3 linked regions of the Callithrix jacchus genome follow. The protein of the gene in region 3 interacts with the protein of the main gene of each other region in a biochemical or structural test. Links are inferred from orthologs where the notes say so. Each region holds a gene or a part of one and is shown on either strand. Other genes may lie near its edges.

Region 1 (3,651 bases), on a different chromosome or scaffold from region 3:
GATTTAACAGTTAAATGGTATAGATAGGATTTGGACCCACCAATTTCATTTCACAGCCTGAACTCGTGGTTACTACATTATTTTCATGCAAGCAATACTGTTAAAATTTGTAAATAAAAAATACCTAATAAGTATCCCAAGAAAATATGTGTATTAGTGAATTAGCTTTAAAGACAAAATAACATGAATGGCTTTTTAAAGCTATACTTTAATCATTTCCTGATGTTCTCTGTCATATTTAAATATTTTAGTCCAATAATAAAGGTCAGAAATTTTCCTAAATGTTCAGATTTCAAGAAATCAACACAATAAAAATTTATATTCTAAGCACAAAGTTTAAGTATATTAAGTCATCGAGACATTTTCAAGTCAGAGCCATTCATTTAGAAGGAAGAGAGGCCTTCTAACAACTAAAGATTATACCTATGCAAATTGTTACAACAGAGCCTGCAGCTATACATCAGTGCATGTGATAAAGTCAACAGGCTGCAGTGGCTTACGCCTGTAATCCCAGCACTTTGGGAGACCGAGATGGGCGGATCACTTGAGATCAGGATTTCCAGACCAGCCTGGCTAACATGGTGAAACTCCGTTTCTACTAAAAATACAAAAAATCAGCCTGGCATGGTGGCATGTGTCTGTAATCCCAGCTACTCAGGAGGCTGAGGCAGAAGAATTGCTTGAACCCGGGAGGCGGAGGTTGCAGTAAGCTGAGATGGCACCACTGCACTCTAGCTTGGGCAACAGAGTGAGACTCCATCTCAAAAAAGTAAATAAAATAATAAATAACTAAATAAAGTTAACACTCCCTCTAAAGGCTTGAAGTTACAAAATGAATCTCTTTGTAATCTTCAGCTTTGTAACTTTCTGAATTTTACGTGAACCCCTGAATTTTCTAAAAGCAAATTAGACAGTATAATGTACAAGATAGATTTTTCTTTCAAATCTGTAACAGAATTGAAACTAAAGCCTTAAATTGAAATCATACCTGCTGAATGGGACTCTGTGCCTGAAACAATATTCTTCGTCCTAGTAGTTCTGCAAAGATACATCCGACAGACCAGATGTCAATAGCATTGCTGTAATGACGGCTGCCCATCAGGATTTCCGGAGCCCGATAATACTGAGTAACAACTTCCTGAGTCATATGACGGGATTCATCTAATTCTTCCACTCTGGCCAATCCAAAATCACAAATCTAAATAGAAAAGGCAATCAAAACATTGTCAAGCAAATACAAATGAAAGGGTAAAACAAAACATCAAAACCTTCATGGGGCACTGAACTTTGAAACACCTTTTTTTTGAGAGGGACTCTTGCTCTGTAGCCCAGGCTGGCTGGAGTGCAGTGGTACAATCTTGGCTCACTACAACCTCTGCCTCCCGGGTTCAAGAGATTCTCCTGCCTCAGCCTCCCGAATAGCTGGGCTGCAGGCTCCCGCCACCATACCTGGCTATTTTTTTTTTTTTTTGTATATTTAGTAGAGACGGGTTTCACCGTATTGGCCAGGCTGATCTCAGGCGATCCACCTGCGTTGGTCTCCCATCAGCTTCCCAAAGTGCTGACACTACAAGTGTGAGTTATCACACCTGGCCACTTTGAAACATTTTAATGATACAGGTATAGTATATTTATGTCAATATACAATCTAGTTTACTTGGTTAAGAGGGGGAAAAAGTCTCAAACTTAATCATTTTCTTAAAAATACTCTTTTCATCTTTATCAATAAAAACATGTCTGTTTTGTGACGAATGTAAACGACTTTATTTGTTTTTTTATTTGTTTCCCTGGCTCAAGTGCAGTGGCATGATGGATCTGAGCTCAAGTGATCCTCCCACCTCAGCCTATTGAGCAGTTGGGACTACAGGCTTCTACTACCTATGCCCAGCTAATTTTTTGTGTTTTTTTTTTTTTCTTTTGTTGTTGTTTGTTTGTTTGTTGTAGAGATGCCATGTTGCCCAGGCTGGTCTTGAACTACTGGGTTCAAGCAGTCTGCCTGCCTCAGCCTTCCAAAGTGCTGGGATTATAGGCATGAACTACCGCACCTGGCCAAATGCATACTTCTATGTTTGATTTAGAAACCAACTGTTGGCCAGGCACAGTGGCTCATGCCTGTAATCCCAGAAACTGGGAGGCTGAGGTGAGAGGACTGCTTGACATCAGGAATTCAAGATCAGCCTGGACAATGCAAGATCTAAACTCTACAAATAATTTTTAAAAAGTAGCTGGGCATGGTGGTGTGCACTTGCAGTCCTGGGTACTCTGGAGGCTGGGGTGGGAGGACTGGTTGAGCCCAGGAGTTTTAGGCTACAGTGGGCTATTTATTATTGTGCCACTGTACTCCAGCCTGGGAGACAGAGGGAAATTGAGACCCTGTCTTTAAAAAAATTTTTAAAAGCCCACAAAACCAACTATTTTCAAGACCAGCTTATAGAGGAAGATATAAGATAAAGCGGTTTATCTTGAAGCTCTCCTTAGCTGAGATTATGTTTGTCATCTTTATGAAATATATATATATATATTTCTTTAAAACAATGGGTTTCAAACTGAGTCCAGCTGAATCTAGTTCTGACTTTAGGCATTCCATAAATATTATATCCAAACTTCACATGTACCTATTTAAAATACAAATTCACACTCAAATGCGTAAATATGTTAAAATGTAGTACACTATAGAATACTAATGCTCCTGGTTCATTCATTTCTTCATGCCATAAATATATAAGTGAGTACTTGTTATATCACAGATGGTACGTTAGAATCTGGAGATATAGCAAATAATAAAGACTGGTTAACTTATATACAAGCTTAGAAATAAATTTTTTCTTGTCATTTCTGCTTAACGGAAAAGTATGCTGAGGTTACAAAGTGAGCTGCTAATAAGCAGCAGCAGTGCCAGCACTAGCAACTACTGCTTATCTTTAGGAATTAAAATTTTCTTGATATTGGGTAATTAAAACACAAAAACTAGGATCAATGAGGATGAGATCAGATAGTAATGGCCATCTAAGCTCCAGTGTTCTTGGTGATGAACTTTACAAGTCACAATATTTCAAGTGATAAAATAAGATTTTAAATCAGTTTTCTAAATTGAAGTCCCAAAATAAGAATTTATTTGAAAAAGAGTTCTGGCAGCTTAAAAAAAAAGGTCTGAAAACTACCATTCTAAAGAAAACAAAATTTACCCCCAAATTTTTGGCAATCCTCTCTTTCTGATTTGAATCTGGTTTTATCAAGTGAATTCAAAAGTGCATGTAGGACCGAACCAGTATGAAGCCACCACCTTTACAACGTAAGAACAAAGGAAAATTTTCCAAGCCATATAGAAAACCATGTAACAAAATGACAACAAAAGCCCAAGTTCATCAAATCCTGTTCAAATAACATAATTTTTTTTTTTTGAGACAGTCTCGCTCTGTCACCCAGACTGGAGTACAGTGACGTGATCTCGGCTCACTGCAACTTCTGTCTTCTAGGTTCAAGCCATTCTCAAGCCTCAGCCTCCTGAGTAGCTGGGACTATATGCACGCACCACCACACCTGGCTAATTTTTGTATTTTTAGTAGAGACAGGGCTTTGCCATGTTGGCCAGCTGGTCTTGAATTCCTGGCCTTGAGTGATCTGCCCACCTCAGCCTCCCCGTGCTGAAAT
Region 2 (3,751 bases), on a different chromosome or scaffold from region 3:
TTTTCAACTCTAAGGGACAATCCAGAGAAGACAGTTGATAGGCAGAATGGCTACAGCAGTCTTAACATATCAATTTCAACTTTTTCCAATAAAGACTTATAAGAAATGAGGTGCCCCAGCAAAGACATAAGACAAAAAGCAATGAGAGAGGCCCAGAACAATGTGTAGCCCTTTTAAGTCACACAACAGATGTCGAGGACAATACCTTAGACAACTGTGGGAAACAGTACAGAGAAATGTCGCCAACTCCATATATTTATTCACAGAGTTTATTTAACTGGTTTATTTCAAAGAGCATGTGTGTGCTCCATATACAAGTTTTACAACAACTTTTTTTAATTTAGCCTTCCTTTCCCTGCTGGTTCAGGCCTACACCTGTTTCTAGCATTAACGTGTGAAGCCATTTCTTCCCACATACCCACAATTTTCCTGACACGTGCCTGCTAGCCAACTACTGAGGATGTTCACCCTTGCAAGTCATTTTTTGCTGACTCTGAAAAAGAACAGGCCCAAATCGTTCAACATGAGTTTCACGGCACTCATTTGGGTTTTTCCAGATGGTATTTTCCTCGCTCTCTCAAACTGATTTAATGTTATGTATCAGCCACCATCAGAAATGTTCCAAACAGTCCAGTTAATTCATTTCTTTCAGGATTCCACACACACACACTCATTCCCTCATTCTGGCCATGTAAGCATTTGCTTATAGAAGCAGAAGCAGAGACTGCCCAGTAAAACACTGGTCCCTTCAGCCGAATGCAGATAAAGCCCTGATGAGCATAACCAACAATACCCTTCACACAATATTACCCAAAACCCCCAGCCCCCAACACACACAATCTATGCTCACACACAAAACGGCCATTATGAGGAAAAACCACCAACTAAAGGCTGGTTTTATAGGTCAAACTGCTTAGGCGGTCTCCTTCCAATCTGCCGTGAAGCATCTACAAAGAGGCTTCTTCAGCAGTGGCAGTCAGTGGGTCCGCTGTTCCCAGATTTTCTTTCCCAAGTGGGATGAAGAGTCCTGCCACAGCCCTGAAGGAAATAAACCTGGTTGCACTTTCCGCTAGAAAAGGAACCAGCCCAGTGCTCACCAGAGGCCAAGATTACACCACCTGGCTCTTCATTCGGTTGCCCTTCTTCACTCACCCTCATTTCAGGACCTTCTCCCACTCTGCCAGCCAGGCCCATTCACCCAGGCCCCACCCACAGCGAAGGGCAGGGCAGGAAGGTACAGCCGGGTGCAGAAGTCCTGCTGGATGCTTCCAATGATAGCCTTATCCTAGCTCACAGCTTAGCAGGATGGAAATAAACCCTTCTCTGCTATTCCAACCTCCACTGACCATGTCCCTTTTAGTAAACACTGTAAATGAGAAGTGCGACGAGTCCAGAGTGGCCGCCGGACAGAGAGAACGGAAGATACCCAATACATTTTGACAGACAAGTGACAATGGAGGCAGCAAAAAAGCTGGCGCAAAGGAAGTGGGCAGTAGAAGAGATGGGGCGTCGGAGCAGTGGATGTCTTTACTCCTCTCCTAAAAAGTTTTTGAAGACCCCAGCGAATTAAACACGTGTCTCTGTCAAGCAAGGTACAGTCCCAGTATCCCCCAAGACCAAGGCTCATTTCCCCTCTTCAGGGAAGGCCTGGTTTTGAATGCGACTCTATTTACAGGGAGTTTAACCTGGACTAGGGGACACACCCACCGCTGCACTCGCCCCTCCCGCGCCCGCGTGGAGCGGTCTGGAGGTGAGAGGCGGAGCCCAGAGAACCCTCACCTGCAAGCGGCCAAGGGCCGATTTCCCCACAGGGACTGGACTCCCAAGAGGTGACTACAATCAAACTAACTGCTTCCCTCCAATATTGCATCTCAATCCATCCAAAGCTCTCCCTGTCCACGCCCTCAACCCGCTGGGATCTTCACAAAGGGGGTTCACTAGAACTCTTTCTCTCCCGTCTCGTCGGGACAGCAGCGTCCCGGCCAGGCGCTCCTCCTCCCCCACAGCGCGCCAGGTCGCTCCCCAGCCCCCACTCAGTCTCAGCAGCTGGCATCCCCTGCCGAGGGTCCCCGAGCCGGGACGCTCCGCCCCCGGCTACCGCAGCGCCCCCCGAAGTGCGCTCCAACCGAGCCTCCTAGAAGCGCACTTGGGCCGGGCGAGCGCGGCCCCCAACTGCGAGGGGCAGTTCGCCCTCCGCCCCGGGGCAAGGGCACTGGGTCCTTGTCCCAGAGCTCCCACGATCCGCTCTCCTCGCCCCGGAGTGGCAGACGCAGCGCCCCCCAGCCGCCCGTCGCGCCTCTGCCCAGCTGTCACCACTCACCTGCTCTTCAGAGGTTGACTTTTGAGTTCGTAATAGGTTTTGGGCTCTTCATGAAACTCCTCTCCTACTTCGAAATCCGGCACTATCCCCGATTCCGACTGCATGGCTCCCGCTTCCCGTCCTTCCACAGCTCAAAAGTGAGAACAGAGCCCGGGGGCGGAGGCAAGGTAGCTGGGCCTGGGTCCCCCGAGTCGTGCGCCCCCGCGCAGTGCAGAGCTCTGCCCGCTCGCCGGCTCGCGGCCGCCCGCCAACGAGCGGGGAGTTTACACTGGCACCCGGGAGGGAGGGGCCGACGGCCGAGCGCCGCCTGGGATCTGTAGTTCGATCCGGGCGGGGTATTCCCGGCTGGCCTGGGGAGTCACTCCCACAAAAACTACAACTCCCAGAAGGCCAGACGGGGGAGAAGCAACGTGGTGGACACCGCTAGAGCAACTCCTGTTTGGATTCATTTTCAATGTCAGCAGCTCCTCTCCCTCCTCTCTCCCCACTTGCTTCAAGGGTACAGACTTGGCTATTTAATATGAATAAGAACGGACACAGCCTGCTCTCCTACCGTCACCCCCACCTCTCAGCTCAGACATCTGCGAGGGCACGCCGTATGCTTATTTAAAAAATAAGATAGTGAAGGGTTTTGGCACTAGAAAGTTTTAGTATTCGAGCCTGTCTTAAAATAAAAAGACTTCCTATCAGCCCGCATGCTTCCCTGGGCTGCTGCGACGTATCAACTTGTCCTCGGATTGGAACAACGAGGAAGAACTTTCCTTCGCTTTGTAATGAAAACGTTATTGGAGAAATTGTTCTTGTGCGTTCCTTTTCTAGAACTAAGTCTGGACTTCTACAATACGGTTCATCAGTTAAATGACCCTTTCCTCCCCTTTATCCAAGTAGCCACTTCTAATCTAAAGCAGCAATTGAAAGATCGGTTAATTTTAAAAGGCACAAACTTACAGAACAGTGTTGTCGCTCTCTGCTTTTAATTTCCCAGTTGACTAGGAGTTCAAATGAGATTGTCCTAATATTTCAGGAGTGAAGATGTGCAAGTGAACTGTAAAAGTGTCAACCCCTTATCGAGCTTCCTGGCACTCACTTAGGGAAGAGAATTTTATAAACTCTCCTTTGTGGCTCATTTGTACTTCTAGTCCTTCCCTCTGATTAGTTCCAGTAAATAGATTGTGTTTCTTCTTTTTAAAAGTGTTTTGAGGCATCAGGAAGGCAGTATAGAGTTACGGTGGCATTTAAAGGTATAAGACTCAGAGTTCAAATTGCTGGTGCTTCTAAGAAGAGCTGTGCAATCCTTAGCATGTCACTTGGTTCCTAGAAGCCTCCATTTCTTCATCCATAAAAGAAGAGATTGGCAAACCAGTTTTAGAAGATGTTGCAAGGGCAAATGTAAGAGAAAGTCATTTGCAATCTATAAAACCCTGTTCAGTC
Region 3 (3,651 bases):
TTAGCCCTGCTCCAACAGTCTGAGACAACCCTGGCCCAACAGGGAATCTTGGGCTTTATTTCTTTCCCTCGAATTCTGTGCTGTTGAAGCTTGGAGCCAGGGTAACTGTACTTCCAGAAGAAGGTGCATTAGACCCTCCAGTCTACTTCACTCAGGTAGGAATAGGTTCTTGCCAAAAATCTGAACCAAATGAAAATTCAGTGATAAATGGCTAAACAGCTCCAGAGTCTTGAGTGCCCACGTTCTGAAGATTTCTCCATTTTGGTGGGGTTCCCATGATCTTTTGAGGTCCGTGCTCCTTTCCAACTTCAGAATCAAAATCAGCACAGTAGGAATCAAGCTGCTTAATGTCCTCAGGGACACAGCTTTCAAGGCAGAGGTCCACTGAGTTTTACAGTAACAGAAAGAAGTGAAGGATCACTGCTGCAAAGGAGCAACAGTGTAGAAATCCTGCGTAGCGTAAGGCAACCACAGCAGAGCCCGAGTGGATACTTACACGTGCATTAGGTCACTGTCCGTGTGGGGATGTTCTTGTTTGACCTGAGGTGTTACAATAGCTGGATGAGGGATGCCAGTTGTGTGGGGACCAGGAGGACCGGGAATCATATGATGGGAAAACCTAAAAGAAGGAAAGAGAAGAAAACAATGTACTACTGGCTGTTGTAGCAAAAGCCAGATAGAATTTCAAAGCAATCCACTAACGGCTACTGGCTAAGAGTAAAAACGCATCTTTATGCACAGAAGCATTAACTATAAATTAGAGTGGGCCGATAATTTTTTTTTCCTTCTGTATTCAGGTGGAAATATTTACAATTATTCCCTGTAGTTTTTTCAAACTAATAGTAGAATATGACATTTTTCTAGGAAGGCTGTAGGCCATAAGATTTGGAAAAAAAAGTGAATCATTAAAAAAAAAAGTGAATCATTTTTCTTGCAAAGCAATTTCAAAATAAGAATTTCATTAAAAGTCATTATTGGAAATATAGCACTTTAAGACTTAGCTTTTAAAGTGATTTTTAAATGAAAGCAAAAGACACCACATGTTAAAATCTCTGCCTATATTCCTAAGCAAACCATCACAATGAAAATGTTCTCATCTTGTTGGCTTCCTCATCCATACGAGGAAGGAACAACTGAGAAAAGGGATAGGAATCAGTCTCCCATTTAATAAGGTTTCCATTAACATCATCCAAAATGATTTTCTGTGCAGATATAAACTAATGTTTCAGAGATGACATCTTATGGAAAACTGGTAACAGAAATAAGGAGAAGAATTTAATTAAAAGGAAGGATACAGTTCTGCATCAAGGTTAAAAACTACACCCGCCAAAGGCTTTTTCCCAAGTATGCTTGTACAGTATCAAAAAGTCTCCAAATATCCACCACCAGCCAACACAAAGGAGGGAAACTGCCATGCAAGAAAAATAAAATAAATAGAGACATTCCTTTCAATATGCTCTCTAGATAAATTTGGATACGTTTTAGAAATCTTTGCTTTTCAAACTGTTTTAAAGTAAACATTTAACTCAGCAAGACAACATTCTCAGGTCTTTCATCACAGCCTACACAATTAATTTCCTCATCTGGAAAGAAACTCTGCTGGGACATATATTTTTCAAGAACAAGTCTTAAAATATTAAGGAAGCACGGTAAAAATACAAATATTTGACCAAATAACGATGCTTTGTTAGCTGTATTACTTGCAAAAATATATGATGCTAGTTATTTGCCTGTCAGAATCCTATCATCAGATAGTTCTTACAATGTTAAAAAGTATAAAAATATGTTTTAAGGGGAAAGATAGTAATTCCATCTCCTCCCACAATCGGCTACATTTACAAGTCACTGAAAAAAAATTTTTTAAGCTGTAATTCACCCCAGAAAATATGAAATTTATACCCATATAAAAAAGACAGATTCACAACCAGTTAATAACCTACCAGTTTGACTTCCGGCACAATAATGCTAGCTCCCTTGACAAAGCCACATCGAACACACAGATAATGCATACCAAATGTGTGTGTACATCAAGCACAGGGCACAGAGCCATCCTCTCCAGAAGCAAAAGCATCACACACAGCAGCTTCTCGGGGAAGCGCAGCAGGCCTCCCGAGCTCCGCTGGCACAACCATGTCCACACAGGCCTGATTCACACACTAGGACACACACCCTGTACGGCCTGCCAGCCTGTCCCCACCGTTCTGTCTCTTCTGACAGCCTCCGTCCAGGAAGGCTCTAGGCTCTGGGCATTTTCAAACACTGCCGCATCAAACTGATACAACTTTCCACAAATGAAGCATATTATAGAACTGAGATCAAACCAGTTTTTATCCTCCTCCGGCATATTTTGAATCAAACAAACTCTTCTTGTAATGTCCGCTTTCCGGACAGTTCCATCCCACAGTCAGGCGGTCATGGATTGGTTTGGAGGCAATGCTTTCCAGGGAGGCTGTGTCCATCCCCCGATGGTGTGGCTGGTGCGGCTGCGGCACAGTGCAGGGCTCCTACCCGGGACTCTCTCTGACACCTAGTGTGGGAGCCAGGCACACTGCACAGACAGACACATGGCTGAGGTATGCACCCTCCTAGCTGACCAAAAGGCAAGCAGAGGCGCACAGGATGCAAGCACGAGAAGAGCAACTTGTCCTTGAGCGCCCCAGTTTCCACCTCCACCTACCTGGACATGGAAGTGTCGACTGACAGTGAGGATGGGTAGGGTTGCCTGAATCCACCCGTGATGGGATATACAGGCTGACCTTGCCTGAGGTCACAGAAGAAAGGAACCCATCAATGACAAAACACGAGTTACCAACCAGCAGTAAGAGTTGGATGAGGGGAGAAGAGGGAGATATTCAAACAGAATCTTGTGGAAGTATTACAGACCTCCACATGGTTTCAGATATGTAACCGTTCCCCTTCCTCACCCTCCACCCAATCAAAGCATAATTTGCCTTGAAGGAAATCTCCCACCCTCAACTTGGAAACAAACTGTTCACAAATTATGTCTCTTTTATTCCGTCCCCTCTCCCAACCCCATTAATGCTTTGAACAAAGTAGGCACTTGAATGTTTATTGAATATAACAGAACCCTGAGAATATTGAAATATTCCCTTCAGAGAAGGAGCTGAGTGACTTATCAGAGTTTTTGAGAATTTCAGGCAAGGGAAGAAAGAAGAAAATAAAACTTTATATTTATATAAAAATAAACATTTAAAAAACACCATACCTTTCCCCCAATATATATGTTAAAGTCAAGAAATAAAAGACTAATTCACTGGAATTATTTTCCCTCCATCCTAAGTCCATCTTTCCCTCTGTTCTTTCTACATCTCTCATTTTTCACTTACACAGACTTTATTTCTAGCTGCCAGTGGTACAATTCAGCACAGGACTATTGCCCCTAAGTCGCTAAGTTCAGACAGAATAATTGATCTAGGTTTGAAAGTGTATGCATAATCAATTAAGTTCAAGCAGTTACTGACTAAGAGATGTAATGCTAGGGAGAGAAAAAGAAAGAGAGAAAGCTGGATTGTTCATGGCAGGATGAGCCTTCCTGGCTGAAGAAGGATAATGCAAGGATGTCCAGGTATGGCGATGTGGGCCGATGACATGGGGGCTGTGACATAGAGAGCCAAGTGGAAAAAGGAGAGA

The links.
Region 1: of the proteins of LEF1 (region 3) and NLK, one has a biochemical effect on the other in vitro, tested with the Homo sapiens proteins (4 studies listed by BioGRID). The link is inferred for Callithrix jacchus from reciprocal best matches to the Homo sapiens genes LEF1 and NLK.
Region 2: the proteins of LEF1 (region 3) and MITF form a complex in vitro, tested with the Homo sapiens proteins (2 studies listed by BioGRID). The link is inferred for Callithrix jacchus from reciprocal best matches to the Homo sapiens genes LEF1 and MITF.

What each region holds. Positions count from the first base shown.
Region 1 is NC_133506.1:105,366,753-105,370,403, forward strand, and holds part of NLK (serine/threonine-protein kinase NLK), read right to left. Parts: intron 1,199-3,651; coding exon 989-1,198; intron 1-988. UniProt on the Homo sapiens protein: Serine/threonine-protein kinase that regulates a number of transcription factors with key roles in cell fate determination. Positive effector of the non-canonical Wnt signaling pathway, acting downstream of WNT5A, MAP3K7/TAK1 and HIPK2.
Region 2 is NC_133516.1:51,562,134-51,565,884, reverse strand, and holds the start of MITF (microphthalmia-associated transcription factor), read right to left. Parts: upstream 2,563-3,751; 5' UTR 2,425-2,562; coding exon 2,321-2,424; intron 1,197-2,320; exon of another isoform or gene 1,098-1,196; intron 1-1,097. UniProt on the Homo sapiens protein: Transcription factor that acts as a master regulator of melanocyte survival and differentiation as well as melanosome biogenesis.
Region 3 is NC_133504.1:89,313,119-89,316,769, reverse strand, and holds part of LEF1 (lymphoid enhancer-binding factor 1), read right to left. Parts: intron 2,762-3,651; coding exon 2,678-2,761; intron 620-2,677; coding exon 497-619; intron 1-496. UniProt on the Homo sapiens protein: Transcription factor that binds DNA in a sequence-specific manner. Participates in the Wnt signaling pathway. Activates transcription of target genes in the presence of CTNNB1 and EP300.